Elephas maximus indicus: one gene and its partners. The protein of the gene in region 4 purifies or fractionates together with the protein of the main gene of each other region. This does not show direct contact. Links are inferred from orthologs where the notes say so. Each region holds a gene or a part of one and is shown on either strand. Other genes may lie near its edges. The genes, in order: PSME3IP1, FBXO7, PSMG3 and PSMB7.

The links.
Region 1: the proteins of PSMB7 (region 4) and PSME3IP1 purify together in Homo sapiens (co-immunoprecipitation; 3 studies listed by BioGRID and IntAct, with this or other methods). This does not show direct contact. The link is inferred for Elephas maximus indicus from reciprocal best matches to the Homo sapiens genes PSMB7 and PSME3IP1.
Region 2: the proteins of PSMB7 (region 4) and FBXO7 purify together in Homo sapiens (affinity purification with mass spectrometry; 3 studies listed by BioGRID and IntAct, counting the BioPlex papers as one, with this or other methods). This does not show direct contact. The link is inferred for Elephas maximus indicus from reciprocal best matches to the Homo sapiens genes PSMB7 and FBXO7.
Region 3: the proteins of PSMB7 (region 4) and PSMG3 purify together in Homo sapiens (affinity purification with mass spectrometry; 3 studies listed by BioGRID and IntAct, counting the BioPlex papers as one, with this or other methods). This does not show direct contact. The link is inferred for Elephas maximus indicus from reciprocal best matches to the Homo sapiens genes PSMB7 and PSMG3.

What each region holds. Positions count from the first base shown.
Region 1 is NC_064839.1:24,134,087-24,141,748, forward strand, and holds the start of PSME3IP1 (PSME3-interacting protein), read right to left. Parts: upstream 3,020-7,662; 5' UTR 2,931-3,019; intron 2,913-2,930; exon of another isoform or gene 2,777-2,912; intron 2,718-2,776; exon of another isoform or gene 2,695-2,717; intron 1-2,694. UniProt on the Homo sapiens protein: Promotes the association of the proteasome activator complex subunit PSME3 with the 20S proteasome and regulates its activity.
Region 2 is NC_064822.1:175,190,464-175,198,089, forward strand, and holds the start of FBXO7 (F-box only protein 7), read left to right. Parts: upstream 1-4,612; 5' UTR 4,613-4,855; coding exon 4,856-4,977; intron 4,978-5,257; exon of another isoform or gene 5,258-5,335; coding exon of another isoform or gene 5,336-5,372; intron 5,373-7,626. UniProt on the Homo sapiens protein: Substrate recognition component of a SCF (SKP1-CUL1-F-box protein) E3 ubiquitin-protein ligase complex which mediates the ubiquitination and subsequent proteasomal degradation of target proteins and plays a role in several biological processes such as cell cycle, cell proliferation, or maintenance of chromosome stability.
Region 3 is NC_064830.1:95,893,860-95,901,215, reverse strand, and holds the start of PSMG3 (proteasome assembly chaperone 3), read left to right. Parts: upstream 1-4,342; 5' UTR 4,343-4,421; intron 4,422-6,124; 5' UTR 6,125-6,158; coding exon 6,159-6,374; intron 6,375-6,989; coding exon 6,990-7,142; 3' UTR 7,143-7,356. UniProt on the Homo sapiens protein: Chaperone protein which promotes assembly of the 20S proteasome. May cooperate with PSMG1-PSMG2 heterodimers to orchestrate the correct assembly of proteasomes.
Region 4 is NC_064827.1:75,453,201-75,460,607, reverse strand, and holds the start of PSMB7 (proteasome subunit beta type-7), read left to right. Parts: upstream 1-4,401; 5' UTR 4,402-4,446; coding exon 4,447-4,508; intron 4,509-4,926; coding exon 4,927-5,020; intron 5,021-7,264; coding exon 7,265-7,362; intron 7,363-7,407. UniProt on the Homo sapiens protein: Component of the 20S core proteasome complex involved in the proteolytic degradation of most intracellular proteins. This complex plays numerous essential roles within the cell by associating with different regulatory particles.

The DNA of each region.
Region 1 (7,662 bases), on a different chromosome or scaffold from region 4:
ACCAAAATATTTTTGTACAAACTTAAGAGTTTCAACCTGGCACAAAGAAAGAACACAGTTTTCCAAATTTGCTTGACAGCCAAGAAAACAAAGTTCTTATATTTCAAACCAAAGTAACTGTTAAACACTGCACTAGTGTTTGTACTGGAGACGGTGGTATTTAATTTCCAGGTTGGCGGGACAACATGGGCTCGGTGTCTTTCTGACATAGCATGCTACACACATTTTAAAATACAAATCTTACATTACAATCCCTGACTTGAAAAACTATTCCATTTAGCTACTGCCATGACACAAGTTAATGAGATCTGGCTTCCTATGGAATTGAATTTTGTGACGGCAGACTACTTACGAAGTGTTTACATCACTGTCCACCATATATGCCTAATTCTAAAATTATACAGATTGTACATGTAAAAATATACCAGGGGCAATCAGATCTCTGTGTTAACAGTTTTATAAGGCTTCACTTTGGGTACCAAAAACAACAGCCCAATTAACTTTACTTTTGTCAGTAAAGGAAACCCTGGCAGCATAGTGGTTAAGTGCTACGGCTGCTAACCAAAAGGTTGGCAGTTCAAATCCACCAGGCGCTCCTTGGAAACTCTATGGGGCAGTTCTACTCTGTCCTATAGGGTCGCTATGAGTCGGAATCGACTCGACAGCACTGGGTTTGGTTTGGTTTGTCAGTAAAAGGCAGTTCTCTTCCAATGTTTTCAACCTGATGTTCAAGTCACATGGGATTTCAAAATGCAGGAATCTGCTATCTGGCAAACTCAACTATATTCCAAATAAAGACTTTCTGGCCAAAAGGCACTTCTACCAAGCTACGGCAATTTAGATCAAGTTGACTTTTCCTAGAGTATAAAACTTCTTCAGAGAATGACAATCACTAACAGAGAATACTCTTAGCATTTTTCCAGAACTCATCAGGCACTAACCCACAAATTCAAGAAGCCTAACCGAGTCCATGGAGCCATGGTGGCACAGTGGTTAAGAGATCAGCTGCTAACCAAAAGGTCAGCAGTTGAAATCCACCAGCCACTCCTTGGAAACCCTATGGGGCAGTTCTCCTCTGTCCTATAGGGTCACTATGAACTGGAATCCACTGGCCGGCAACAGGCTTGGTTTCTCTTTTTGTTTGTTTGCTTGTTTTTAATGGAGTCCCTGGGTAGTGCAAACTGTTAAGAGCTCAACTACTTGCAGAGAGTTTGGCTGTTCAAACCCACTCTGCACCTCAGGAGACAGGCCTGGTGATATACTTCTGAAAGGTCACAGCCTTGAAAAGCCCTATGGATCATAATTCTGCTCGAACACATGGAATCATTTGAGTTGGAATCACTTGATGGCAATTAACAATACCGAATTGAGTAAAAAAAAATTCACACCTGAATACACCAAAATGGAAAATGCAGAAAACCAAAAATAAAGACACAAAAAAAAAAATCTTAAAAACACATCCTACAGTAAGGAGTTAAACAGATTATATTTAAGAATGAAGACAAAGGTATTCAATCATGAGAACACACTGAAATTGCTTAATTCACCCGAGGCTACGGCTGAACCATGCTCTTAAATTACTTCATTTACCAGATACTTGGTTCTCAATTTCTGAAGCAGCAATTTGACCCTAACCAAACATAAAGATTCTTAGAAGGTGAAAGTGAAGGTTGCTAACCACTTAAATGATTTTCACATAATTCTTCCTTTCTTACAACCATGAAGAATTAATTTCCCCACAGGGTAAAGGCATCAAGACTTCAGTTGAGAGACTCAGGCAGCCTCTGCTTTCTGACCCTTACAAGTTATTAACAGCTCATCTCAGGCTCCATTTGAAAGCCTTTACCAGATGCCTTCAACTCAGCTGATTGCCCTGTATCAAAAGAAGTCTACACGCTCATACTTCCTCTCAAGAATCTCAGAAGCAGCGCTCTCCAAGCCAGTTTATTACGTCCTTGTTAGACACCAATTAATCAAAAAGCCACAGTCAGCAAATCTTACCACGCAACCGGTTGGTACACAAGGGGTAGTTGGGAATTCTGACCACCAGGTCCGAACTTGGCTTTCGGGGGTCTCACTCCAGACCTACTCAGTCAGAGTATCTGGGAGTCGGGCCCGAGAAACTGCATTTTAAGAGCTGTAGACGACCGCTTTCAACTAAAGTTTTAAGAACCACTTTATGAACGAATAGGTCTCCCCCTTTCCTGGCGAGGACTGACATTCCCGTCGCCACCAAGCTCACAGGGGGCCTCAAACGACCCGCTCCAACTCTCAGCCTTCATTTCCTCATCGGCAAAACGGGCACGCTGGTTTGTTTTCTACTAGAAAATGCACTTCGCACAGCAACTGGCACATGGTATATAAGAAATATGCTGCCCATCCTGAACGTCCATTCTGTGATTCAATCATTTCCAACCAGGCGTCCCCACATCTCCTGAGCAGCCTGGAGCGGTTCCAAGCCCTCGGGAGCAAAGCCCGCTTCCCACTGGGGACTGGATGGCCCCATCTAGCAGCAAAGGTGGAGGGGAGCCGCAAGTGGCCCGGGATCCCGGACTCATCTCTAAGGGTCGGGGAGCCTCCCTACACGAGCCAGACGCCTTCTCAGACTGGACTCAGCAGGCCCCCGACCTCGAGGACTCAGGACACAGGGCTAGCCGAGCGCACTGGGGGCACAGGCCTGGCCCTAATCCTAACCTCAGCCGCAACATCCCGTCTCCTCAGCGAAGAAACTCGAGCCCAGGTTTAGTTGCCTGGAGGGGGCCCAGGCCACACTCACCTACCCACACGCGGGAGGCGAGACTCTCACCTCAGCAGCGCCCACCCCAAACCGCCACCGCAAAGGCCGCTCGCTGTTTAAAAAAAAAAAAGAAAAAGAAAATAGCCTTTGCTTTTGTATTTTTTTTGACCCTTCAGGGCTTCCTCTTCCTCACCTACAACAAAGTTCCGCCCCGCTTCCGGCAGCGTAGCCCAATCCGCAGCTCTCTTCCTCCGCGAGAGACAGATGGAAATCCGCTGGCCCCGAAACGAGTCGGGGGACTTGATTGGACCACTCACACTTCGACAAGCGGATTGGCCAGCTCACGCCTGGGGGGCGGACAGGGCAGTATCCTCACGTGACTTAATCCCTGAAAGATGATTGGCTATGATGGAGAGGGCCTGCCACCGAGGAAGGGGCGTTTCCTAGGGGACTGAGGGAGGGCCGGGGCGGTGCGAGGCGGGGGTGGGCCCAGTGCGTAATGGCAGCGCCTTGGCCTCGCGTCCATCTTTATCGCTCTCTGGGACCTGTCACAAAGGAGTCGCGCCGCCGCCGCCCCCTCCCCCCGGTGGGCCCGGGAGCTGGAGAAAGTCAGTGCCGCAGCCCGGCCGCGCTGCTCCGGCAAGCCCCTGGGGACGCGGAGCGGGGGGACAGTCCGAGGGCTGGGGACGTTCGTGAGGGACGGGAACAGCCGGCCAAACCTCGGGCGGGGTGGCCGGACTTGGGCCGGGGGAGGCTCCGGGAAGGGACCTGGGAGGAGGTAGCTTTGGGCAGAGCCCGGGAAACAGCCCGGAGGTTCTCCGCCAAGGCCCGCGCTGAGGGCGCCTGAAGACATTCCTGCAAAAGGGTGTTCCCCCTTTGGGGGATCTTTACCGGAGGAGGTTCTTGGGGGTCGCTCTTCTGAGGAGGCCGCGGTTAAAGGGACCCAGGTGAGAGGCAGGTAGCTTCTGGGGAGACTCTTGGGACTGAGGGACGCCCCGTTGGGGTGTCTGGGTCGGAAGAGGTAGATTTGGGAGGGTTCTCTTTTGTGGAGTTCGTGTTTTAGGGGGTACAGTTGGGAGACAGACCTCCCCCAGGGAGACTTCGAAATGGCTTGAGGTCTAGAGACACCTCAGAGAGAGGGGCAAGGAGGCGGGAGCCAGGGCTAACGGATTCTTCTACTCCGGTGGCCCGAGTTAAAAATTGGGGAAGGGCGTTGGGGTGGGGGGGTTTCCGGGAGCTTCTGGGAAGTGGAGCCTCCTTCCCCCCCTCCCTCCCATAGGAAAGCCTGGGTAGGAGAGAAGCAGGAGTGGGAAGGGTACCTTCCCTCTCTCTGGAAGACCGACCAAGTGTCCCAGATAGAAGATTCAGCTGGTTCTGGGCTTAGTGCGGGGAACCCATCCCGCCAGCACCCTCTGTCTGATTTGGACTAAACAAATCTTCCCCTTTGGCTCAGTTTCCCTGTCTTTGATGAGGGAGACAGGCAGAGACGGTCTGCTGAGACTCTGTGGACAGTGGTGTCCCTGTCTGAGGTTGCTCCCCCTGCAGTGTTGTACTTCGAACTTCTAAGGGTCGGAAGTGTTTATTATTGACTGAGTAGAAAACCAAAACCAAACCCGTTACCGTCAAGTCGTTTCCGACTCATAGCGACCCTATAGGAGACGGTAGAGCTGCCCTATAGAGTTTCCAAGGTGGATTTGAACTGCCGACCTTTTGGTTAGCAACTGTAGCTTTTAATCACTGCACCACCAGGGTTTCCAGGCTGAGTAGAGTCCTGTCGTTTTCCAGGCCCCTCACCTACCATTTGCTGTCCTTATACAAGTGACTTACTCTCAATCTTTTTGAGTCTCTTTGTAAAATATGCAGTGCGTGAAAATATGAGCTACAGGCTGTATGGAAGCAAGGTATTGTGGTTCCACCACCAAACGGGTTGCTGTTGGGAATAAAATGAAGGCACTTTCTTAACTGTAAAGCAGTATATAGGATGGATGTAATAGATCAGTATTAATACAGTTGTTACTGATCACCTATGGAGTAGTGGGGAGCCATATTGTACTGAAAACTTTAAGGTTTGCAGCTCGTTAGGCTATATTATAATCTAAACCCATGATTTCAGCCTCTGTTTAGATGGGAGTGGAGGGATTTCCAGTTCTCAGAGTTTTAATTTACTTTGCCTGTCTGATGGTGCTGGCAGGAGTTGGCACTGTAATAAATCTTTTCCTTCAGTCAGTTTTTCCCTGACAGTTGAGATTTTCCTCTAGGTAATTTGATCTCAATATCATAAACCTTATCCCTTCTCTCTTCTATATTCATGGTCTTTGGATGTCTACGGATAGTGATTATCATGCTGCCTTCCTCAATTGTGATTTTGTGACTGAGACCATCTTTTTTTCTCCATGAGTATCATGCCTTGCTGTGGTAGCCCCATACCATAGATTACGAGGACATTGGCAATCGATCTTATATCTCTTCCACAATGGTTCTCTTTACTTCGTTTTTCCACCTTGTGTAGAGTTTGCATTTCCCGGGATGACATCTTGCTTTGTGGATCCCTCGACGAGGTTACAAGATACTTGTTTCCATATATGACATTCCCTTAATGTTTGGTTAGTGGCATTTGTTAGGGCTGGCTTTTCAAATATTGGCTAATTTATTTAGTGATTTTTTGTTTTAATAGTTGCTTTGGTTTTTTAGCAAAAAACTGACCTGCATTTATCATTTTTCTAGTCTTATATTCCATGGTCCTTAAAAAAAAAATCATTGGGGTGATTTTGATAGCTTTCTGATTTCTCAGGATACATGTTATCCCCGACCTACTGATCTAGTGTCTTTTTGTGCCCTGCTTTTTTGCTGGTTTCACAAACTCATTATTTCAGTTCCCTGTGATTATTTTTAAGGTATTGATTATAGGAAGTGTTCCAGCATACTCTATGTGGGCTTTTTCTACTTCGTCAGCAAGATAACTTCTCATTAAGTAAATTGGCCAAGTATTTAAGGGAAAATAAGAACTTAGCATCTTGTGTAATAATGTTATTCTATCGTGAACAGGAAAAAACAACTCTGAAGTATATTTTCGCAAGAGCTTAACAAAAAAATTATTGTTGTGCGTTTACAACAGTCTCTTTCAACTGAATGAGCTTAATTCAGCCTACCAAGAATTGTGTATGCTTTCCCAAATAATGAAGTAATTTGTTATAATGAAGTGAGAAGTCACTTTGCCATCTTTAACTTTCTTTGACATTCTAATATTTATATAGTTGGAGAAATTATTAGGACTTTTTTGAAATGGTAATCAGTATTATACTACTTCAAATTGGAAATTTTCTGTGTTTTGTGGTGGGGTCCTTTTAAAGTAGGATCTCATAGTCACCGAGTTGCAAAAGTAAGTGGAAGGTCAATAGGCACCATAGATGGGAACCACAGTGCAAGCAATAATCTACTTCAAAAGAGTTATTTGACTTAGCTTTTCTTCAGGCTTTTGGCATTTTGAAGGCATTTACCATTGAATTAGGGTCGTTCCCCATACCCCCATATTCAAATTAGATGATTGAAAAACAGAATAGTCAAGTGAATGCCAAAGAAATGAATGCCAAAACTTGAGCCACAACACTTAGGAGAAGACTCTTACAACTTTAAGGTGTGAAAGAATAAATATTTCCCCTTTGGTTTATTTATTCAGGAAGTCAGTTTTTGAAATCATTTTCTGGCCAACCTTTATGATTAACAAAAAAGTACGTATTTGTTATGTATTACTATAATGCCCAATCCAAAAGGAAATGTTTGCTGGTTATTATGTAAAAGCAATAACCGTGTGACAGATACAAGACTAAATCAGGTAAAAATACTTTGAGAAAATTTTACATTGTTCCTTTCCAAGGTTTTAAAAACTATAAATAATGTGAGATAGCAAGAAATTGATTCCCTAAATTTGTTAAGAAATAAATTCTGCAGGTAGCTTTCTTATTGCTAGAAATTACAGTTTCTAGACTTAATTTCATGAAACCTCTATACCTCGAATAAAAGTTTTGAAATACTTAGGAAGTTTATTATTACCTCTTAGTTTTGTTTTTCATTGTTAGTTTTTTCTTCCTCCCACCCCTCCCGCCAGTCCCCAAGAGTTAAGCTTCCGCCCCTGTAGTCCCTTCATGCAGTGGTTCTCAAAGTATGGTTCCTACCCCACCCCTCTTCATGGGAAATGCAGCTTCTTTTTTTTTAAGTTCCTATTGCTTTATCGTTATTCGTATATCTGTACATCTAAGGGCTACTTACCAAATGAATCATTAAGGATTTGCTAAAACATGGCATTCATAAACCAAAACTGCCACAATATTAGAGTTTACTGACATCTCTATTACATTTTCTCCCAGGAAATCTGTCCTGGGAAGCTTGGCACCAGTGCCCCTCACAGGTCATCTACAGAGTGCGGATTCCTGCAACATCCAGGAAGAGTGCTTAGTTTGTGGTGAATCATCAGTATTGTCTCAAATTGATCTTGGTTTTCCATTTTTACTCCACATTTACTCTTGTTTTTTTCATTAAAATTACTATTCAGCATCGTCTGATTTACAGGTGGTTGGTTAATCTTTCTGGAGTTCCTGAGTGGTGCTGACAGTTAATGCACTTGGCTGCTAATTGAAAGGTTAGCAGTTCAAGTTCACCCAGAGGCTCCTCAGAAGCAAGGCCTGGGCATCTAATTCCAAAAAACCAGTCAGTGAAACCCTACGTAGCACAATTTCTATGCTGACACACATGGGATTGCCACGAGTCAGGATCAACTCAGTGGCAACCGGTACTGGTGCCTCATCTTTCACTGCGTCAGCAGAAAGATTTGGACCAATAGTATTTTGGCTTATAAGTTAAGACATGAATGTGTTGCAGTACAAATATAAATTCTCCATTCCCTTTTGCTAATACTGGTATATATACAA
Region 2 (7,626 bases), on a different chromosome or scaffold from region 4:
AGAATGTTGACATGTTGTGGGGTTGGCAACCAATGTCACAAAACAGTATGTGTACTGTTTATTTAGAAAGCAGTTTGCTCTATATGGAAACCCTGGTGGTGTAGTGGTTAAGTGCTACGACTGCTAACCAAAAGGTTGGCAGTTCAAATCTGCCATGTGCTCCTTGGAAACTCTCTGGGGCAGTTCTACTCTGTCCTATAGGGTCGCTATGAGTCAGAATCGACTCAGTGGCAATGGGTTTGGTTTTTGCTCTATAAACCTTCATCTGAAGTACATATATATATATTAAAAAAAGAACGGCCATTTTCCAGAGCTATAAAGTCTAAATGAAATTATGTGAAAAGCATCCCACATAGTGCTTGGCAAGGAAGCTTTCACGAAACCTTTTATAAGTGGTCCTAGAAAAACTGGGGCTCAGTCTGTTAACAGCTGCTATTGCTGTTTGAAGTAGCAGCTGACAACAGGAACAGGTGATTAAGCACAGGTTTTGACCGAACTGATGGGGTTTCTAAATTGAAAATAATTTAAACATTTTATCACAATCTACTGTGTTATGGGTTACTGTTTTGTCCATCACTTTGTGAACTTCTCACGGTGGGCCTTGAGTCTAGAAAATGAGTAAGTCAGATGTCCAAATTTCATACTGCTGAGTCTCACTGCTTGGGAAGTTAAGGAGTGAATCTCAGCCCATCACCCCTTATAGAGTTTATCTGTTGTGTATGTTGTCCTTTCACATAAGCTCTAGATGATTAATTTCCTTCGCACAAAGTCCTAAGAACCATTGGGTTCATTCATTAATTCTTTCCTTCATTTAGAACGCATTTATTGAGCATCTTCCAAGCCCAGATGCTGTCTCAGGGCTGAGATTCAGTCTCCAATCTCAGGCACCTACAATGTATTGAGTAGCAAGTAATCCCAACAATTACAACACAGCGTTCTCAATAGCCCATAAGTCTTCAGCTCTGTAACTTACTGCTACCCTGAATATGCATGCCATTTAACCTTTCCCCACCTTTGTATACTCTTCTCTCTCTATTGCTCAATCCTGCTTTTGTTAAGCTTGGGAAATTCCTAGTTATACTTTAAAATGCAGTTTAAGTGTCACTCCCAGTTAATCAACTCCATATCATGTACATACTCCTGCTGTTAGCACTTATCACATGCACCACAAATGTTTATTTATTTATATTTATTTATGGCATAATATGTACAGGTGTCCGATTCAAAATGGCCAATACCAGTCCATCCCAGTTCACTAATGCCTAGAATATCGATGTTTATGCGTTCCATTTCATTCATCGTCAAAAAGAACATTTCAAGATCTATCCTGAAGTACAATGCTGTCAGTGATAGGATAATATCCATACACCTACAAGGAAGACCCGTTCACAGGACTGTTATTCAAATATACGCACCAACCACTAGAGACAAAGATGAAGAAATAGAAGATTTTTATCAGCTGCTGCAGTCTGAAATTGATCGAACATGCAATCAAGATGCATTGATAATTACTGGTGATTTTAATGCGAAAGTTGGAAACAAAGAAGGAGGATCAGTAGTTGGAAAATATGGCCTTGAGGACAGAAATGATGCTGGAGATTGAATGACAGAATTTTGCAAGACCAACAACTTCTTCATTGCAAATACCTTCTTTCACCAACATAAACGGCGACTGTACACATGGACCTTGCCAGATGGAACACACAGAAATCAAAATGACTACATCTGTGGAAAGAGACGATGAAAAAGCTCAATATCGTCAGTCAGAACAAGGCTGGGGCCGACTGTGGAACAGACCATCAATTGCTCATATGCAAGTTCAAGCTGAAACTAAAGAAAATCAGAGCAAGTCCACGATAGGCAAAATACGACTTTGAGTATATCCCACCTGAATTTAGAGACCATCTGAAGAATTGATTTGATGCACTGAACAACTGTGACTGAGGACCAGACAAGTTGTGGAATGACATCAAGGAAATTATACATGAAGAAAGCTACAGGTCATTGAGAAGATAGGAAAGAAAGAAAAGACCAAGGCGGATGTCAGAGGAGACTCTGAAACTTGCTCTTGAATGTTGAGCAGCTAAAGCAAAAGGAAGAAGTGATGAAGTAAAAGAACTGAACAGAAGATTTCAAAGGGTGGCTTGAGAAGACAAAGTAAAGTATTATAATAACGTGTGCAAAGAGCTGGAAATGGAAAACCGAAAGGGAAGAACACGCTCGGTGTTTCTCAAGCTGAAAGAACTGAAGAAGAAATTCAAGCCTTGAGTTGCAATAGTGAAGGATTCCATGGGGAAAATATTAAACGACATGGGAAGCATCAAAAGAAGATGGAAGGAATACACAGAGTCATTATACCAAAAAGAATTAGTCGATGTTCAACCATTTCAAGAGGTAGCACATGATCAGGAACTGATGGTACTGAAGGAAGAAGTCCAAGCTGCTCTGAAGGCATTGGTGAAAAACAAGGCTCCAGGAATTGATGGAATATCAGTTGAGATGTTTCAACAAACAGATGCAGCGCTGGAGGTGGCCACTCGTCTATACCAAGAAATATGGAAGACAGCTTCCTGGCCAACTGACTGGAACAGATCCATATTTATGCCTATTCCCAAGAAAGGTGATCCAACTGAATGTGGAAATTATAGAACAATATCATTAATATCCCAGGCAAGCAAAATTTTTTGCTGAAGATCATTCAAAAGCAGCTGTAGCAGTATATCGACAGGGAACTGCCAGAAATTGAGGCCAGTTTCAGAAGAGGACGTGGAACCAGGGATGTCATTGCTGATGTCAGATGGATCCTGGCTGAAAGCAGAGAATACCAGAAGGATGCTTACTTGTGTTTTATTGACTATGCAAAGGCATTCGATTGTGTGGATCATAACAAATTATGGATAACATTGCGACAAATGGGAATTCCAGAACACTTAATTGTGCTCATGAGGAACCTTTACTTAGATCAAGAGGCAGTTGTTGGGACAGAAAAAGGGGATACTGATTGGTTTAAAGTCAGGAAGGGTGTGCGTCAGGGTTGTATTCTTTCACCAGACCTATTTAATCTGTATGCTGAGCAAATAATCCGAGAAGCTGGACTATATGAAGAACAGGGCATCAGGATTGGAGGAAGACTCACTAACAACCTGAGTTATGCAGATGACACAACCTTGCTTGCTGAAAGTGAAGAGGACTTGAAGCACTTACTGATGAAGATCAAAGACCACAGCCTTCAGTATGAATTACACCTCAACATAAAGAAAACAAAAACCCTCACAACTGCACCAATGAACAACATCATGATAAACGGAGAAAAGGTTGAAGTTGTCAAGGATTTCATTTTACTTGGATCCACAATCAACAGCCATGGAAGCAGAAGTCAAGAAATCAAAAGACACATTGCATTGGGTAAATCTGCTGCAAAGGACCTCTTTAAAGTGTTGACGAGCAAAAATGTCACCTTGAAGACTAAGGTGGGCCTGACCCAAGCCATGGTATTTTCATATCGCATCATATGCATGTGAAAGCTGGACAATGAATAAGGAAGACCAAGAACTGATGCCTTTGAATTGTGGTGTTGGCGAAGAATATTGAATATACCATGGACTGTCAGGAGAACGAACAAAGCTGTCCTGGAAGAAGTGCGGCCAGAATGCTCCTTAGAGGCAAGGATGGCGAGACTGCGTCTTACATACTTTGGACATGTTGTCAGGAGGGATCAGTCCCTGGAGAAGGACATCATGCTTGGCAAAGTACAGGGTCAGCGGAAAAGAGGAGACTCTCAACGAGGTGGACTGACACAGTGGCTGCAACAATGGGCTCAAGGATAACAAGGATTGTAAGGATGGTGCAGGACTGGGCAGTGTTTCGTTCTGTTGTGCACAGGGGTCGCTATGAGTCGGAATCGACTCCAGGGCACCTACAAACAACAACAACAACGTACGCGTGGTGAACAAGATAGACTTGATCCTTGATCTTACAGGCAGGAGCTTCGCCTGTGGTAGGCGAACAATTAGTAACTGTTACAATAACAATTAGTTAATTTTCAATTAAAAAGAAAAATTCAGATTTTGATGAACTCTAAGAAGGAAACTGCGTGATGTAACACAGTAACTGGGGAGACCAATTATGACAATACTCAGTGGTTTGCCATACATTATTCCCCTTAATTCTTTTTGAACACAGCCCTGCGGAAGCACAAAAGGAGGAAGTTACCGGAGCCGGGGTTCAATCTAAGGGCTTCTCAGAGCAGGTGCCACTAGAACTGGGCGTTGATGAAGGAACAGTCGTTCGCCACGCAGGAAATGGGTAAGAACTAGGTACCCATAAGCCATGGGGCGTGGTGAGTTGTACGGTCCGCAGCATCCCTTTCAGCAATAACGTTCTTCCCAGCACACCTTTCAGACGTCAGAAAGCAGCCTCTGCGGAAGAGCCGGGGTACCAGCGCACCCCGACGTCTGGGCGCCTGCGCAGCGCGCTCCTCCTTCCGCGCCGTCAGCTTGGACCGCGGCGCCCGGGCGGCCCGGAAGCCGCGCGCTCCCAGGTAGCGGCGTAGCGCGCCGAGTCATCGATCGGAAGGTCCTTTGCAGCTGGGCTCGGCGCTGGTCGCCAGCTGCTCGCTCTGCGGGTCGGCTCTAGGGGGCGCCCTTATAGGAGGGACAGAGCGCCCTTGTTTTAGGGACTAGCGAGCTAGGCCTAGGCCGCCGTGGCGGCGACTTTTACCCGTTACACATCAGCACTTTAACAACACCGGTAGTTGTCGCTCCTGGGTCTCCGCTTGAGGCGGGAGCTGCTGGGCCCCGCCGTCGCCACTGTCGCCGCCCCCGGGTCCGAGCCCCTGGGTACCCCCGCCGCGGCCATGAAGCTTCGGGTCCGGCTTCAGAAGCGGACCTGGCCGCTGGAGATGTCGGAAGCGGAGCCGACGCTGGGGCAGCTGCGCGCGCATCTGGGCCAGGCCTTGTTGCCCACTTGGGGGTACAGGTACGCGGGGGCGGCTGGGGGTGCAGCCCGGCCGCGGGCGTTGGGGGTGTACGGTAGGAGAAGTGAGGGTGTAAGTCGGGTGTTTGCGTGCGACTGTGCGCTCTCGGGAGCGTGGGTCCCCATGTGGGGCGCCGTGAGGTTGGGGTCGCCTGTTGGCACCGGCGTCACTGAGCGCTCCGCCAGGGTGCAGAGACGCCCCGGGCGTCACGTGAGGGCTCTGCGTTCTGGGGGCGTCGCCGTTCGGGAGCGCTTCTGGGGCTGGAACTAGGGCGGGCTCGGGGCCAGTGTCCGGGTGGCGCGTCGGGTTGGGAGTGGGGAGCTGCGGCTGCTTTTGCGGTTGTCCCAGCTGCGAGGACCCATGGCGCAGCGTCCCGGGGGCTCCGATCCCCCGCAGGGTAAGTAACCGACTCCGATTTTATGGCAAACGAAACCACGGATAGGATAGCACGCAGAACTCACAGGATTTTTAAATTTAAAGTTGGAACTGATGAGCTTGGCATGGCTTAAACATTTCCAGACTCTAGGGGTTTAAGTTCACTTTCTGCACCTGTTCAATATTTCAGTGAAAGGTTTGGGAATACTAGAAGTTACAAACCTGCTCTCCACCCGAAGCCACCCTTAACTGGTGCGGCTGCTGTCAGGCTGCAGTCATTTTAAGACTACCTTGAGTTTCTGTGCCAGGCCCCTTGGTGAGCACTTGCACTTACCTCGCTGCAAATTTTCACAAAGTACACTCTGTAGAGGTGCTTGACATCATTGTATTGTCCTGGGCAATAAAGTGTTAAAACTTAGGGCCTTATAATGACCCTGGGGAACTTGGCAGTGTTAGGACAGTGAAGTTGAGAGGTAAAGCGTTAAATTCTGTTAATTTATGGGGCTACTGATGAGGCTGTTTTGTTTCCATAGAAGGTGTTTTCTGGGACAATAATCTGGGAATAGAGGACAAAATAAAGGTGATTCTTTTCAAATATTGAGGTAATGAACTTGAAATTTGAGCTAAGACAAAATAAAGTCGTTCCCTGGGGGACGTTTTAGGTGAATTTTTCAAGAGACAACCTTGTTAATTGAAATGGTTCCTTTCATAAGACTGTTGTAAGCTTCCAATTTGTTTTTAGGGAGTTCCGTAAAGTGGGGCCATATTATGATCTTCTCACTCTTCCCTTTTTAAGGTTAAGACATTATTACATTAAAAGTAAGCATGTTTTCCTCCCAATTTTTTTTTTTTAAAAAGAGGTATGAACATAATTTCTCTTCAGTTATGTGCCCATCATTATTTTCTTTGCCTTAAACCTAAGTGTTTTGCTTACTGCCCTCATTTCAAAATTAACTTCTTTTCAAGGCATTTTCATATGTATATATATTTTTATTATTAGTTTTTAATTAGGCAGGATAATCTTAAAAGAATGTGAAACCCAATATGACTTGTTTGCCCCAATATGACTCTTATTTGCCAAGAGCTGAAGTTCATTTCTCTTTCAGGTTTGTTTTTTACAGTGGAGGCTGATTTACAGAAAGGAATTTAAGTTGCACCTTACAAAAGTGAATTCATCCTTCTGAAAGTCTGTTCATTTTCTAGTAAATGGGTAGTTTTAAAAGGTGTACATAGCACATTGTTATTTTAAAGTGTCTTTACTGAGCGAGTGGATTTGGGATTGTCATAAAAGTATTTTGAAAAAGCTTGGGAGTTTCTAGGATTTCATTTTTTGATGAACTTAAAATTTAAGTTCAGAAAACAGAACAGTTTCAGAAAACAACCCTTTTAAACCCTCTTCCTAGAAAACTGCATTTTTTGTTTTAGAAATAGCTCTTCCCTTTTTTAAAGGGTGAAGAGGCCGATGTTCTTTATTAAGCAGACAGTTCTTTGCCTTTTCTACAAATAGATATTTGTACTTGATACTGTTAAAAAAAAAAAAAACCTTTTGCTGTGACAAATGATCCAGAAACAAATATAGTTCACTTGAGATGTTTTTCCTTTTTCTGCCAAAGCTGGGATGGTGTTTTTTGGGCAGCTGGCAGAGTTTCAACATTTTATCAAAAACACTTTGAAAACAGAAGCAGAGCTACTTTTTTTTTGAGAAGCAGGGGTCGTTTCTATTTCAGTAATTTCTCTACCAAAGACTTTTTAATTGGTGAGAAAAAAATGTACTTACAGTCAAAAGGAAAACAAATGAATTGTTTTGAGCACTTTGGAAAGTGCAGCATTGTAAATAAGAAAATACAATGTGATTGTCAAAGGACTTTATCCTTTGTTAATGTCTCAAAAAGTTAATGAAATCAGCATTCCTGAGTGTAAATGGTCTTACAAAACCTTTTACAATGGTTTTGTTAATTCCTCACCACCCTGTGATGAAAAGATGGTTATCCTTACAAAGTCAGATAATCTGTGATGCAGAAACAATGCAAATGCGTTGCCTAAGGTTTATTTGAGCTCTTAATTGGTTTAGCAGTGAGTTTTTGGTTTTCTGCTGTCTTCTGTATAAAAGACAACACGTTCTCAGTAGGAGGGTTGCAACTTGTCATCATCTGGTCGAGGGGATACATTTGTACTCTGTCAACTACATACGCTCGTCTAACTTTTATGGTTATGAATATGCATGAAGGACATGGGTCTAGGTTTTGGAACCAAAGTATGCTAGCTGTCCTGCATGG
Region 3 (7,356 bases), on a different chromosome or scaffold from region 4:
AAAAATTTTTTTTTAATCTAAGTGGTGTCTAAAAAATGAAGAGACAAGGAGACGGAAGAAGGACAGATACGGTATAAGGGTGGATTATTTCGTATTATAGAATAAAATTCTCAGCAGGCAGGAATAGCTACAAGTCCAGCCTGAGCAATTGTGTGCAAACTTAACTGTTTGCCTGTGGATCTTTCTGTAGGTCTTTCTCCACCTTGGCAACTCTGCAAGCAAGAACTGATAGACTTGGTGGGAGGTGGGCTCCATTTTTTATACTCAGTCTGTCTTAGTTTCCTAGGGCTATCATAACAAAGTACCACAGACTGGTTGGCTTAAAACCACAGAAATTTATTGCGTCTCAGTCCTGGAGGCCAGAAGTCCAAAGTTTAGGTGTCGGCAGGGCTGTGCTCTCTCTGAAAGCTCTAAGGGAGAATCCTTCTTTGTCTCTTCCAATTTCCAGTGGTTCCTGGTGATTCTTGGTGTTCCTTAGCTTGTAGATGCATCTTCGCGTGGCCATCCTGCCAAACAGTTGGAGGTTTGAGTCTACCCAGAGGTGCCTTGGAAGAAAGGTTGGTGACCTATTTTAAAGAAATCAATCACTGAAAACCCTGTAGAATGTAGCTCTATTCTGACACACGTGGGGTTATCATGAGTCGGAGTTGACAGCAACTGGTGCTAATATCTCAGGCCTACACCAATGTAATCTCCAACTGTCTCTTAACCTGCTCTGTTTCAGAGCCTGGCTGAGAGAAGTGAGAATGATTCCCATTTATATAAATAAAGTCTTTTCTACCTATTACTGTATCACAACAAAATTTAGAGGGAAATGTTGGGAAGGTCTGACTTAAACAAAGGCCATGCACCCACAAGACTGTTACTAGGGCAGACTCGGGGGCCCTCCTAGAGATCCTGGAGGTCGCCGTCCCAGCAGCTTGGAGAGAAGCTCCTGTGGGTCCTAGGAAGTTCAGACCACGCGGATCAAGAGCACAAAACAGCACCTTGAGGGTGAGTCCCTCCAAGTTGTGAGGGTTGATTTATTTGTACTCAAGCTGCTCTTCATCTGCCATAGAGCAGCAGGATTTCATTCATTTAAGGAAGAGTTGGCTAATAATAAATTTCATAGCTAAGTTTATGATATTCTAGCATGAATCCCTGTACACGGGCCACCTCATTTATCCCTATGTGGAAGGGAAAATTGTTATCTCCATTTTTAGAGCAAATTTTACTTCTTTTCTGATCTGGATACCTCTTTTTTCTTTTTCTTCTCATATTGCTCTGGATAGGACTTCTAATACAATGTTGAATAGAAGGGGTGAGAGCGAGTACCCTTGTCTTGTGCCCAATTTCAAGGGGAAAGCTCTCAATCTTTCTCCATTAAGTATAACATTGGCTATTGGTTTTTCATATATACCTGAATCATATTGAGGAACTTGCCTTCTATTTCAATCTTCCTGAGGATTTTCATCAAGAAAGGAGGCATTATCTCCATTTTTAAACTGAGAAACGGGTTGAGAGGGCAAGTTGCCCCAAGTCACAGAACTGGTAAAGGCCAAAGAGGTCGTCTCTGAAACCCAAAGTCTTAAACATCCCAAAAGTGTCATACCCAGGAGATCCTCACGATCCAAAGATTCAGTTATCTGAGTCCCCATAGTTATGAGACTTCGGAGGAACATAGAAATCCCCGATACAAAATTTTCACTGATGAACCCAGCACTTACGTACTTAGGCGCCACTCAAACATCTCTCCTGGTGTAGCTCCAGAATTTTTCCCCACCCACGTTGAAAGAACTGGACATGGTGGTGTGATGGGGTGGGAGTACAATGCAAATCAGTCGCAAAGATGCAAGATTTCAGGAAGCCAGTGAATACGTTGTTGGGGAATGATGAGATGGAGCCCAGGGCCACTGGTGATTACGGGCCGGTTGGCAATGCTAGACGGGCGGGCAACTGACACCAAGGAAACTGACAAGGCTAATGACAGGATGCATGTCAACAAGAAATGATCTGAACGTCAATGGATTAAGAGAGGCTGTTGAGAAAATTGATGGTGCCCTAGTACAGTTTAGCAAAACCAATCCTCTTTATAGGATGGAGCTGGGAAAATCACACACATTGTGAAGAAGAGCGTATTGAGCTATTGCACAATTTTTTGAAAAACTATGATTCCTCCACCCCAAATCAACACTTGATTTATTCTTTGTTGGCTATATAAATGAAAACAACTGCATTCATACCCTAAAATTTATTGAGTTAAGATAAAATCAAGATATTTTCCCTTTTTTCCTTCATTTTTCATGATAAACTCTCAAGGAAACTCTTTTCCTCCACAATTTACCCTATTACAATTTGGTTCCCATCTTAATTGAATTTGGTGAAGGCATCGTTCCTTCTGGCCCAATTACCCTCTTGCACTGGAGAACAGTCTAACAGCAGAAAAATTTCCTCATCCATTCTTCAAAGTATTTAAATCCTGCCTACGTATCAGTTTTTTTTTTTTTTACGTTATCAGTTTAGGTCACCAGGAAGCCACCTCCCTGAACCACCGTCACCTGAGTCTAGGACAGCCTTCCCATCTTCCGTATCTCTCAAATTCAGTCTTGTTCAAAGATCTAGACAAAAGCAGCAGAATGACAAGCCTTTGAGTATTTGCTTAATAGTGCCATCAAAGTGTCATAAAGGTGATGTTTATTTTAGAGTTGTACATTTGTTTTTGTCAGGTTTCTCGTGTATATTTGCCTATTGAGAAAACGCACAAATAGGTGAATAAACGTGAGTGGACCTCTTGAGGGTTTCACACTGGCAAAGCAATACACTGGCAATTTGCTTCTGGGGTGTGTGTGGGTGGATGTGTGTTTAAATTTAGAACCAACAAGAACTTACACTTTTCTGAGAAATTGATATGCTTCTTCCTTTCTGATTATTGGAACCATGAAATCATCATCTTTCCCTTTGTGTACAGACTGTAAGGAAGCTCAAAAACAAGTATCTTCTTGATTTTTATGTCTGTCAATAATGTTCTGTACGCGTGCCTTTTATTTTAGGCCACCAGACATCATTTTTAAGAGGGCACGCTTCATTTGACTTGACTTGGATTGGACAAGGACATTAAATTGTAAAACAAGGGTGTAAAGGCATTAGGGATGCCACAGCTCCCTAGGGAATTGTGTGGGGTACGCAGGCTTTGATGGGAGGCAAATACAGCCATGACAGAGCTGTCAGGAAAGAGAAAGACTTCTGAGCATGGTGTTCTGGAGTATTAATCCCCTAAGGGTCCCAAGGCTCGAATCCCTCTCAAACCTTGCCTTACCCTGCCAATAAAACCTCCAGCTTGGAGAAACAGATGATAAAGCAGTTGGGGTGGGGGCGGGGGGGCAGGAATTACTTTCAGGGATCCTTGGGAGGAACCAGAAATCATCCTGTTAGGGGGGTAGCAATGTCCCTCCCTCCATTCATTCTACTCCTTCACCTGGGCACTCACATGAGGAGCAGCAACTAAGCGTAAGGGTTTGAAGCCTAGGGCCACCTCTTATCAGAGCCTTGGGCAAGCTCTCTCTGAACTTGAACCTGTCTGTAAAAAGGGGATAAAAGTACCAGTAGAGTGGATTCTGACTCATGGCATCCCCATGCGTATCAGAGTAGAGATGTGCTCCATAGGGTTTTCAAGGGCTGATTTCTAAGAAGTAGATGGCCAGGGCTTTCTTCCGAGGTGCCTCTGGGTGGACTCAAATCTCCAACCACTTGGTTAACAGCCATTTGCTACTTTAATGGAGTTGTTAAGATTAAATGAATTAATATACACAGGGCACTCAGAACAGTGCCTGGCACATAAAAGTGCCAAATAAGCATCCGTTATTATTTCCACCGCGGTGGACACAGGTTACCCCAAACGAGATTTTGAGGCATGGGGCGCCGGCACAATCTGGAGAGGCTAAAAGTGTCTTTGTTACTGCGGGGCAGAAGCTCTCTGGGCTGTTACGAGGGCCCTGGAGAAGCCCTCCCAAGGGCCTGAGCCCCGGCCGAGGACACCGCGACCCGAGACCAGAGCGGGGCTGGGTCCCGAGGATGCCCTTCTAGAGAAATCGAAGAGCCCTTCACGAGGGCAAGGAGCTGAGCAGCCTACGCTCGGGACTTGAGGCCCCCGTAGCCCTTCCCTAACGCCCCCAGCTCCTGGTCTAAAGCACCGAGCAGAGATCTTCATGAAGAACGCAAACAACGCTCCCGAAAGACCCGAACGGCTCACGACTCAGCCACCGGAAGCCCCACCCTGCACTTCCGGCGGAGGCGGTGGGAGGAGATGGGCGGGCCCGTGAGTGGGCCGGGGGGCGGGAGCGGAGGGCGGGCCGGCGGGTGGGCGGGGCGCGCCAGGCGGAGGCGGGCCCTCGTCGCACACGCTGAGCCACTTCCGGGCGCGGTGCGGGAGCCGGTGAGCTCAGGTGGCGCAGCGGGTGGAGGTCCGGGGCGGTGTCCGGCGGGTTGGCAGGCGACCCCGAGGGCCCTGGGGAGGGTGGGGGTGCCCTGCGGCCCCCTATCTTGTCGTAGTCCGAGGCGAGATCCCTCCCTGGTCTTCCGGCCCCTAGTCTGAGTCTCCAGCCCTGTTTCTCGCCGCCCCTGGACCCGCATCCCTGTATTGTTTGTTTCTGGACACCAGCCCCCGGGTCCCTATCCCTGCATCTCCTTCTTCACCTCAGTCTCCCCCTGCCCTTTATCTTTTTGTGTCTCTCCGTGCCTAGCTCTTGGGTCTCTGCCTGCCCCTCCATGCCTCTGCCCCTCCTTGTCCTTGAATATGGGTGTCAATAATTCCATTTGGGACCAGTGATGTCCCCAAAAGCAGATAAAGTGAGAATTCAGTCTACAGACTAGCAGAAAAGCGGGGGTTCTGGTCTCGGCTGTTGAGCACCTGGGTGCTTTGCTTGCAGGTATCAAGGATATGAGGGAAATCCCCCCTTGCCTTGATTTAAATTAGTGCCATTAGGATCAGCGGGAAGTCATAAAAGTAATACATACCAGCGGGAGGCTGGAAGTGGGCGGGAAACGCTGTGCTCAGGGAGGAAGTGAGATCACCTGCCTCTAAACATGAAAGCTTTTTGACATTTGCTTCTTTGTGTGGCCTGTGTACATCTACTGATCAACTGATCCACAAAGTTCCATTCCAGTATTTAAAAAAAAAAAAAAGCAGTTGCTGTCAACTCTTTACTCCTGGCTACCCCATGTGCGTCAGAGTAGACCTGTGCTCCATAGAGTTCTCATGGCTGATTGATTGGAAGTGTTGCTCGGGGAGACACTGAGGCACAAGTCAGGTGAAAGCAAAGGAAGGAAAACTATTTGGTTAGCCAAACAAAGGAGATCACTGGGACCTACCTCGCCAAGACGGCTCCCTAATCAGCAGGCATGGGGAGGCAACAAGAATGGGGCAGGCTCTTTTGCAGGGTGTGCTCTGGGGCGTGGTCCATCAGGACTGGAGGATAACCGACCTCATCCGTAGGCGCAGTTGCACTGGGGCGGTGAGGAAGGGGAAATGGCGGCGAGGAAGGAGATATGGCGGCTTCCCTCTGCCCAGCCGCCGTCTGGGTGTTTCCCGCCTCATTCTCTGGCCAGCGGTTTCCCGCCTTGGAAGCAGATCACTAGGCCTTTCTTCCAGGGCACCTTTGGGTAGACTCGAACCCCCCACATTTTGGTTGGCAGCCAAGTACGTTAACTGTTTGCACCACTCAAGGACCTTAATATGTTTATAAGATTATGTATATGGCCATACATATATGTTGTTAAAACCAAAACCCCCAATCCGTTGCTACAGAGTCAGTTCCAACTCGTGGCAGCCTCATGTGTGTCAGAGTACATCTGTGCTCCGTAGTTTTCAGTGGCTAATTTTTCAGAAATAGATCACCAGGCTTTTCTTCTGAGGTCCCTCTGGGTGGACTCACAGAGATGTCCCATATAGGCAGTGGGAGATTTTCAGCTGAGCGGTCAAGTGTGTTAACTGTTCAGCATCCAGTGACTCCAGGTACAATCTATATGGGCAGGCAGCCGCTTGTGTTTCTATTTTAATGCCAAAAGATACGTATTTAGGATTCTGATTCCCAAGGTGTCTCGGGCCCTGTTTGGCTGACTTACTCCTTTTTGTTGTTGTTCTTTCTAGCACTAACTAAAGCTGCCATAGAAGACGCCCAGCCATGGAAGACAAACCGTTGGTGGTCTCGAAACAGAGGAGAGAAGTGTTGTGTGGCGTCCCCACCCAGGTGGTGTGCACGGCCTTCAGCAGCCACATCCTAGTGGTGGTGACGCAGTTTGGGAAGATGGGGACCCTGGTCTCCCTGGAGCCCAGCGAAGTGGCTAGTGACATCAGCAAGCCCATGCTTACCACCAAAGTCCTTCTCGGGCAGGATGAGGTAAAAGGGCTGGGAAAGGCCCAGGGCGGAGGGGGATCCTCTTCTGTGGCTTTCATTTCTCAATGAGCTCTTGGAACAGGTGGAAGGCTAGCCCCCCTACGGTGGCCATGAGTGGGCATTTCTGGGTCTAGGGGTGTCCCACCTGTCCTTGGTGAGTGCTTGTACCAGCCCGTTAGAATCTTACCCAGCAGGCAAGGATTGATTCTGTAGTATGTGCCTCCTCCTGGTTTGACTCTGTCATGATAGACACTGTTAATGAGTGGCTGTTCATGCTCTGTCCTGGAAAGATTGTCTGTGAACTGGAACAGAGGACCCCTCTCCAGACCTGTCCTTCTGAGTCTTTGGAGGTTAGATACAGCGAGCAGAGACAGGGGACTCAGAAGAGGGCACCAAGGAAGTGAGCTTAGTGACACCTCTTTAGTGGTTTGTTTACAACTGGTGTATTCTGAGCGTTGCGTTGAACTCTGAATCACAGTGGCATCAGATTTAACGCTTGGTGATGTAATGGTGGTGTGGGAAGCCCATCTGGGCTCCTAAGGGCTACTTAGGGAAGGCACTAAGGAAAAAAACCAGCTCTTTGCTGCTAAAGTGGTTCCCTCCCCTTCCCTCCACCAGCCTCTCATCCACGTCTTTGCAAAGAACCTGGTGACGTTCGTGTCTCAAGAAGCTGGGAACAAAGCAGTTCTCCTGGCCGTGGCTGTGAAGGACAGGAGCATGGAGGGGGTGAAAGCCTTGCGGGAGGTGATTCGGACATGCCAGGTATGGTGAGGGGGCCCATACGGCCCGACCACCCTCCTGCTCACCAAGATCAAGGGAAGACGCAGGCCCCCTCACAATGGTTGGAAGACATCTTCAGCCACAACCAGGAGCCCTTGAAGCCAGAAACAATACTCAGGTGTCGGGCAGGCTCCACTTTGCTTGGTCACCGATATCAGCCTTGGGAGGGGAAAGGAGTGGAACATGGCTGGGGGCTTGTGAATGG
Region 4 (7,407 bases):
CCCTGGAATTGTGAGCTCAAGAGAGGAGGAACTACCTCTGATTCATCTTTGTGTCTATTCCCCAAAGGCTGAACCCAGAGCAGCAGTAAGAGGGTTTGATGAACGCTGTGGAGGCAGTCACTCATTCTACAATTATCAGGGCATGTCAAATTATGACCCCTCCTTCCTAGATTCTGTGGTGTCAAGTATCTCTTATCGGCAAGTGGACTTATTTAGAGCAGGTCCCAAATCTTTTTACTCTTTTTTTTTTTTTTTGCCCTCACCAAAGTAGAAAGTTGGTTACACAGGAGGTAGACAAACTTTTCCAATAGTAGATTTTCATCACGGCAGCTGGAAAAGGCTTTATTGTCCTCATTCCCCACAAAAGACCCAGAATGGTAATGAAAGGGAATTCAACCTCTGACAAATATTTGTTGAACGCGTAATGGTGACAGGTCCCAGGCACCTGCAGTGCTATTTGTTCATTTGTACCTAGAACTATGCCTGACACATAGTGGGTGCTCAATAAATATTTTTTGAGTAAATAAATTCATCCCACAGTCACTGAGGCTGTCATTTACTTGCTATGTAAATTTGTGCAAGTCACTTCACTTCAATGAGCCTCAATTTCCATCAGTAAAATTGGTTGGATTATATACCTTCCTCTTTGGGTTATTGACAAAATGAAATGACTGTTTCAATAACTAATTTTCAAGCAGCTGTTATGCACTAGGATAGGTGTGTTATATGTATAATCAAATCCCACTGCAGCCTTTCGAGAAAATTGAGATAAAATTCAAATAACATAAAATTCACCACTTTAACCATTTTAAAGTGTACAATCAGCGGTTTTTAGTATATTCACAATATTCTGCAAACATCACAACTACCTAATTCCAGAACATTCTCATCACTCTAAAAAGAAACTCTTTACCCATTAAATAGCCACTCCCCATTTTGCCCTCCTTCTAGCCTCCGGAAACCACTAATTTACTTTCTGTCTCCAAAGACTTGCTTATTAAGGACATTTCATATAAAAGGAACCACACAATACGTGGCCTTTTGTGTCTGGCTTCTTTCACTTAGCATAATCTTCTCAAGGTTCATCCATGTGATAGCACGTATCAGTACCTAATTCTTTTTTAGGGCTGAAATAATAAATAGTCTATTGAATGGACATACCACACTTTATCATTTCATGAGCTGATGGACATTTGGGTTGTTTTCACTATTTGGAGATTATGAATAATGCTGCCATGAATGTTTGTGTACAAGTTTTTGTGTGAACATATGTGTTATGCATGGAATTATGTCCCCCTAAAATGTGTGTCAACTTGGCTAGGCCATGAGCCTCAGTATTGTTTCGTCGTCCTCCATTTTGTGACCTGATCTAATTACCTATGTGTCGTAGATCCTAACCTCTCTGATGTTACTGATTCAGGGTTAGAGGCAGTTATATTAATGAGGTAGGACACAATCTACAGGATCAGCTTGTATCTTGAGTCAATCTCTTTTGAGACATAAAAGAGGGAATTGAGCAGAGAGAAGAGGGAACCTCATTACCACCAAACAAGAGCCAGGAGCAGAGGTGGTGCTTTGGACCTGGGGTCCCTGGGCTGAGAAACTCCTAGACCAGGGGAAGATTGATGACAAGGACCTTCCCCCAGGGCTGACAGAGAGAGAAAGCCTTGCCCTGGAGCTGACACCCTGAGTTAGGACTTCTAGCCTCCTATACTGTGAGAGAATAAATTTGTTTGTTAAAGCCATCCATCTGTGGGATTTCTGTTATAGCAGCACTAGATAACTAAGACAATATGCTTTCAATTCTTTTGGGTATATACCTAGGAATCGAATTGCTGGGTCATATGTTAAGTTTGTATTTAACTTTTTGAGGAATTACCACATTGTTTTCCAGAGCACTTGCACCACTTTACATTCCCACAAACAATGTATGAGGGTTCCAATTCCGCCACGTCATGGGTAACACTAGTTTTTTTTTTGTATTATAGCCATTCTAATTGAAAACCCTGTGGAAGACAGTTCTATTCTGAAGCACATGGGGTCACCATGAGTCAGAATCAACTCTACAGCAATGGGTTGGTTTTTCCAGTTAGCATGTGAACGATGAAGGAAGCATTAAAAGAAGATAGAAGGAATATCCAGAGTCACTACACCAAAAAGAATTGGTTGACGTTCAACCATTTCAGGCGGGAGCATATGATCAAGAAATGATGACACTGAAGAAAGAAGTCCAAACTGCGCTGAAGGCATTGGTGAAAAACAAGGCTCCAGGAATTGATGGAATATCAACTGAGATGTTTCAACAAATGGATGTAACGCTGGAAGTACCCACTCATCTATGCCAAGAAATTTGGCACTAAATGGAAGAGATCTGTATTTGTGCCCAATCTAAAGAAAGGTGAGCCAACAGAATGTAGAAATTATTGAACAATATCATTAATGTAACACACAAGTAAAATTTTTGCTGTGGATAATTAAAAAAATGGTTGCAGCAGTACATTGAAAGGAACTGCCAGAAATTCAAGCTGGATTCAGAAGGGGATGTGGAATGGGTGATATCATTGCTGATGTCAGAAGGATCCTGGCTGAAAGCAGAGAATACTAGAAAGATGTTTACCTGTGTTTTATTGACTATGCAAAGGCATTCGATTGTGTGGATAATAACAAATTATGAATAAGATGTCGAAGAATGGGAATTCCAGAACACTTAATTGTGCTCATGAGGAACCTGTGCATAGAAAAAGAGGCAGTCGTTTGAACAGAACAAGGGGATATTGTGTGGTTTAAAATCAGGAAAGGTGTGCATCAGGGTTGTATCCTTTCACTATACTTATTCAATCTGTATGCTAAGCAAATAATCCAAGAAGCTGGACTGTATGAAGAAGAATGCGGCATTAGGTCTGAAGGAAGAGTCATTAACAACCTTTGATATGCAGATGTAACAACCTTGCTTGCTGAAAGTGTAAAGGACTTGAAGTGCTTACTGATGAAAATCAAAGATTTTCTGTATGGATTACACCTCAACATAAAGAAAACAAAAATCCTCACTACTGGACCAATAAGCAATATCCTGATAAATGGAGAAAGTATACAAGTTGTCAAGGATTTCATTTTACTTGGATCCACAATCAACCCCCATTGAAGCAGCAGTCAAGAAATCAAACGATGTATTGCATTGGGGAAATTGGCTACAAAAGACCTCTTTAAAGTGTTAAAAGCAAAGATGTCACTTTGAGGACTAAGGCACACCTGACCCAAGTCATGTTATTTTCAATTGCATCTTACACATGTGAAAGCTGGAGGATGAATGACGAAGGAATAATTGACGCCTTTGAATTATGGTGTTGGCAAAGTATATTGAATAGACCATTGGGCCTGCTGGTGCCGTGGTTAAGAGCTAGGCTGCTAACCAAAAGACTGGCAGTTGGTTTCCACCAGCTGCTCCTAGGAAACCCTATGGGGCAGTTCTACTTTGTCTTATAGAGTCCCTATTAGTCAGAATCGACTCCATGGCAACGTTTTTTTTTTTTTTGCTTAAAGAATGAACAAATCTATCTTGGAAGAAGTACAGCCAGAATGCTGCTTGGAATCAAGGATGGTGAGTTTTCCTCTCATGCACTTTGGATATGGTATCAGGAAGGACTAGTCCCTGGAGAAGAAGGACATCATGATTGGCAAAGTAGAGGGTCAACGCAAAAGGAAGACCCTCGTGAGATGGACTGACACAGTGGCTACATCAATGGGCTCAAACACAGCAATGATTTTGAGGATGGTGCAGAGCTGGCCGGTGCTTTCTTCAGTCGCTATGAGTCAGGGCCAACTGGACAGCACCTAAGAACGACATGTGTAAAGTGGCATTTCACTGTGGTTTTGATTTGTGTTTCCCTGATAACTAAGGATGTCCAGCATCTTTTTATGTGCTTATTGGCCATTTCACAAGAGTCTTTTGAGGTAGGTGTCATCTCCATTTTACAGCGGAAGAAACAAGAGAGTGGAGCTGACTTGCTCAATGCAAGGAGGTAGTGGGACTGGGCCTGGAGCCTGGTTGTGTCTGTCTCTGAAGCCCATGCCCTTCCTTTCCTCTGCTCCCCGCTCCCAAAAAAAAAAAAAAACCCAAATCCATTGACGTCTTATCAAATCCGGCTCAGCCCAGCGGAGCTAAATTAACGATAAAAACAAGTCTGGTCTGGGCGGCTGGGGACTGGTCTCTGGTCTGTTCATCTTGTTCAAGTCCTTCTCCCGCTCCGGGAATAAGGGTCTCCTCCCCGCCACTGGGGGCGATATATCGCAAATATCTCCGGGCTTGTCTAGGAATTAATAACGCTAAGATAATTGTCCTTGCTCTGAGTTGACCCGCCTGTTAAGCCCGAGTCGCCTGCGGCGCCGGAAGTACTCGGCTCTTTTTGTTTGTCCCCGCCCTCGGCCCGGAAGTGCTTACTCGGGAAGATGGCGGCTGTGTCGGTGTATGAGCGACCGGTTGGAGGTTTCTCTTTTGATAACTGCCGAAGGTGCGGCCTTTGCGGGTCGGGGTCCGGGGCGGACGTGGGAGTACGGTGCCCCGGTCGGAGCTTTCCCGCGGCCTGATCTGGAAAGACCGAGTGTGCGGGAGACTACGGGGCCTGCGGCTCGCGGCTCGGGTGACTCAGGGCAACCTGGGCCTCAGCGTGGGTTTCTGTTGAGGCCGGATTAGCCCTCACACCTCTCCAGCTCCCACGGACACCGTCTCCTTAGACGAATCGCGGCCATTCTTTGAGGCGGTTTTCTTAAAAAAAAAAAAAGAACAATATCCCTGATATTGGGAGGATTCAGTGAACAGATGGGCGAGAAAGAGTTTTTCTATTCCTGAGTTAACTATTAAGTACTTTTCTTGCCATTGCGGCTCAGTGTCGTCCTGCCCTTAAGCATTTTTTTCTTTTTTGCACTTAGGAATGCCTTCTTAGAAGCCGAATTTGCAAAGAAAGGTTACAAGCTTCCAGCAGCCCGGAAAACTGGCACGACCATTGCGGGAGTGGTCTATAAGGTAACCTGGAGTAGAAATGACTGGATTGATAACAGGATATAGATCTCTCCTTGCTGGATCAGGAAGGGCTGATGTTACAGAGTACATCAGGAAAAGGCCCTTTAGGAGCGATTGCTTTTGTCGCTAGATTATGTGCGTTTGTTAACACTTCATATTCTTTTCATTCTTTGCAGAGTCATTGACAGGAGAGCAATTTACTTTTTTAAAATAATTTAAAAAAATTCAGTTGTTAAGATATATACAGCAGAACATACACCAATTCGATAATTTCTGCATGCACAATTCGTTGACGTTAATTGCATTCTTCCCTTTGTGCAACCATTCTTACCCTTCTTTTCCGAGTTGTTCCCTCTTTCATTAACATAAACTCACTTCCCCCTAAGGTTCCTATCTCATCTTTTGAGTTGCTGTTGTCAGTTTTATCCCATATGGCTGGATCTTAAAAGAGCACAATGCTCAAGGCAGACATTCTTTACTAGTTAAGCTAAATTACTGTTTGGTTTTAAGAAGACTTCAGGGGATATTTTTGGTTTAAGATTTAATGTTTAAAGATTACCTCAGGACAATAGTTTCAGGGGATCATCCAGCCTCCATGGCTCCAGGAAGTCTGGATTCTGTGAGTTGGTACCATTTTAATCCCAATACCTTTCTTCACATGAGACCAGTGTGAACCTGACATGAAATATTTTAGAACACTAAGTTATAGGATTGTGTTTCAGTTACCATTTGCTCCCACTGCCAGAATAGTACCTGACAGATAGTAGGTATTCATTAAAAATTGATTGACCAGTCAGGGGTCAGGTTTCATCTGAAACCTGTACATGTGTATATACACACAGGTTGTACTGTAAATCCCAAGCAGTCATGAAACTGTTAGGGCTAAGGACTATACTCTCTGATCCAGTTGGGTTGCATACAAAAAGACATTTTACAAAGTGTTGGTAATGGAAAGCCATTATTATTTATAGAAGGAAAAAAACAACAGAAACAGATTACTTATAGAAAGCAAACAGTAAAGAACAGCAATAGATTAGAGGTGAACTGGTCCCCTCCACCACCACAAGTACCCCTGCTTAGCATCATAGAAGAGGAACCTGCTTACCCTTCTCAGATTACTCATGTCCATTTCTGTGTCACTGGGCAAGCACGCCATGGATCAGGAGTCACCAGGTGTGTTTCTTTCAGCAGGTGTGTTGTCACTTCAGGTCAGGTGCAGTGTGGCTTTTTTTGGTTGTGTCTGGCCCCCTGTGCTTACTGGTCCACCTCTCAACCAGCAGCTTTGGGACAACCGTGGGCCAGTGACATCACTGGGCGGGGGGGGGGAGGTACAAGGGATGCAGACTGTACTCAGTGACAGTGTTAGAGGGGGTGACACCAAAATGTCTGTAAATTTTTTGTGCAGTGTTTCAGTAGAAATTTATTTTTTTTAGTAAAAATATTCCTGTGGTTGTAACAACAAAAATATTTTTTCATAAACCCAGCTTACATGTATCAGTATACCTACAAGGCTAAAACTCTATGCTAATTTACTTTTTGAACATTATAATGTGCTCCGTCAGAGCTGTCTTTTTACCCAGTTACAGTGCCGCTTCAAATCATGTGGTTTCGTCTGCACAGGCTACAAGCACGCCCTGTTGTCTTTTTTGTTTGCTTGCTTTTTTGTTTTAAGTTAACTGCTGTAGGAGGCAGGATGATATAATGGGAGAACCGAAGATTTGGCGTCAGACATTTATTCATTGAGCTTCTGTGCTGCTTCCAACCTTGGTTGGGCCACTTCTCACAGCCACCCTTTCCTCATCCAGCAAATGGAGATAATAACTCCTGCCTTAAATTGTTGTAAGGGTCAAGAGATAATGATTACTGTTGTTGAAGGTAAAGAATGACTTATTTAAAAAAAATTGACAGAGATGTCTCTTTTATTGGAAGGATTTCTGGATCTTAATCCAGGCTTTTCCAAGATTAGCTTTGTGATTTATAAGAAATCACTGAATCTCTGAGCCCCATTTTTAAAATCTGAAAATGGGGATGGCGGTTCCTACCACCTACTCAGGATTCAACTAATAAGGTTTATTAATGAGCCTTTTCTTGAACTCTGAAAGTGTGGCACAGTATTTTTGGTAGGAGATTTACCGGGGGGTGTGGGGTTGGGGGAGCAGGAGATGGCTAACGTTGTTTTCCCTAAGCTAGAGAGCTGTGGTTTATATATCTAAAATTATTTCTAAACTTTTTTTTTCCCTCCAATAGGATGGCATAGTTCTTGGAGCAGATACAAGGGCAACTGAAGGAATGGTTGTTGCTGACAAGAACTGTTCAAAAATACACTTCATATCTCCTAACATTTAGTAAGTATTGGTTAGTGTGAATAGCTTGTGTATTTTCAAATATTT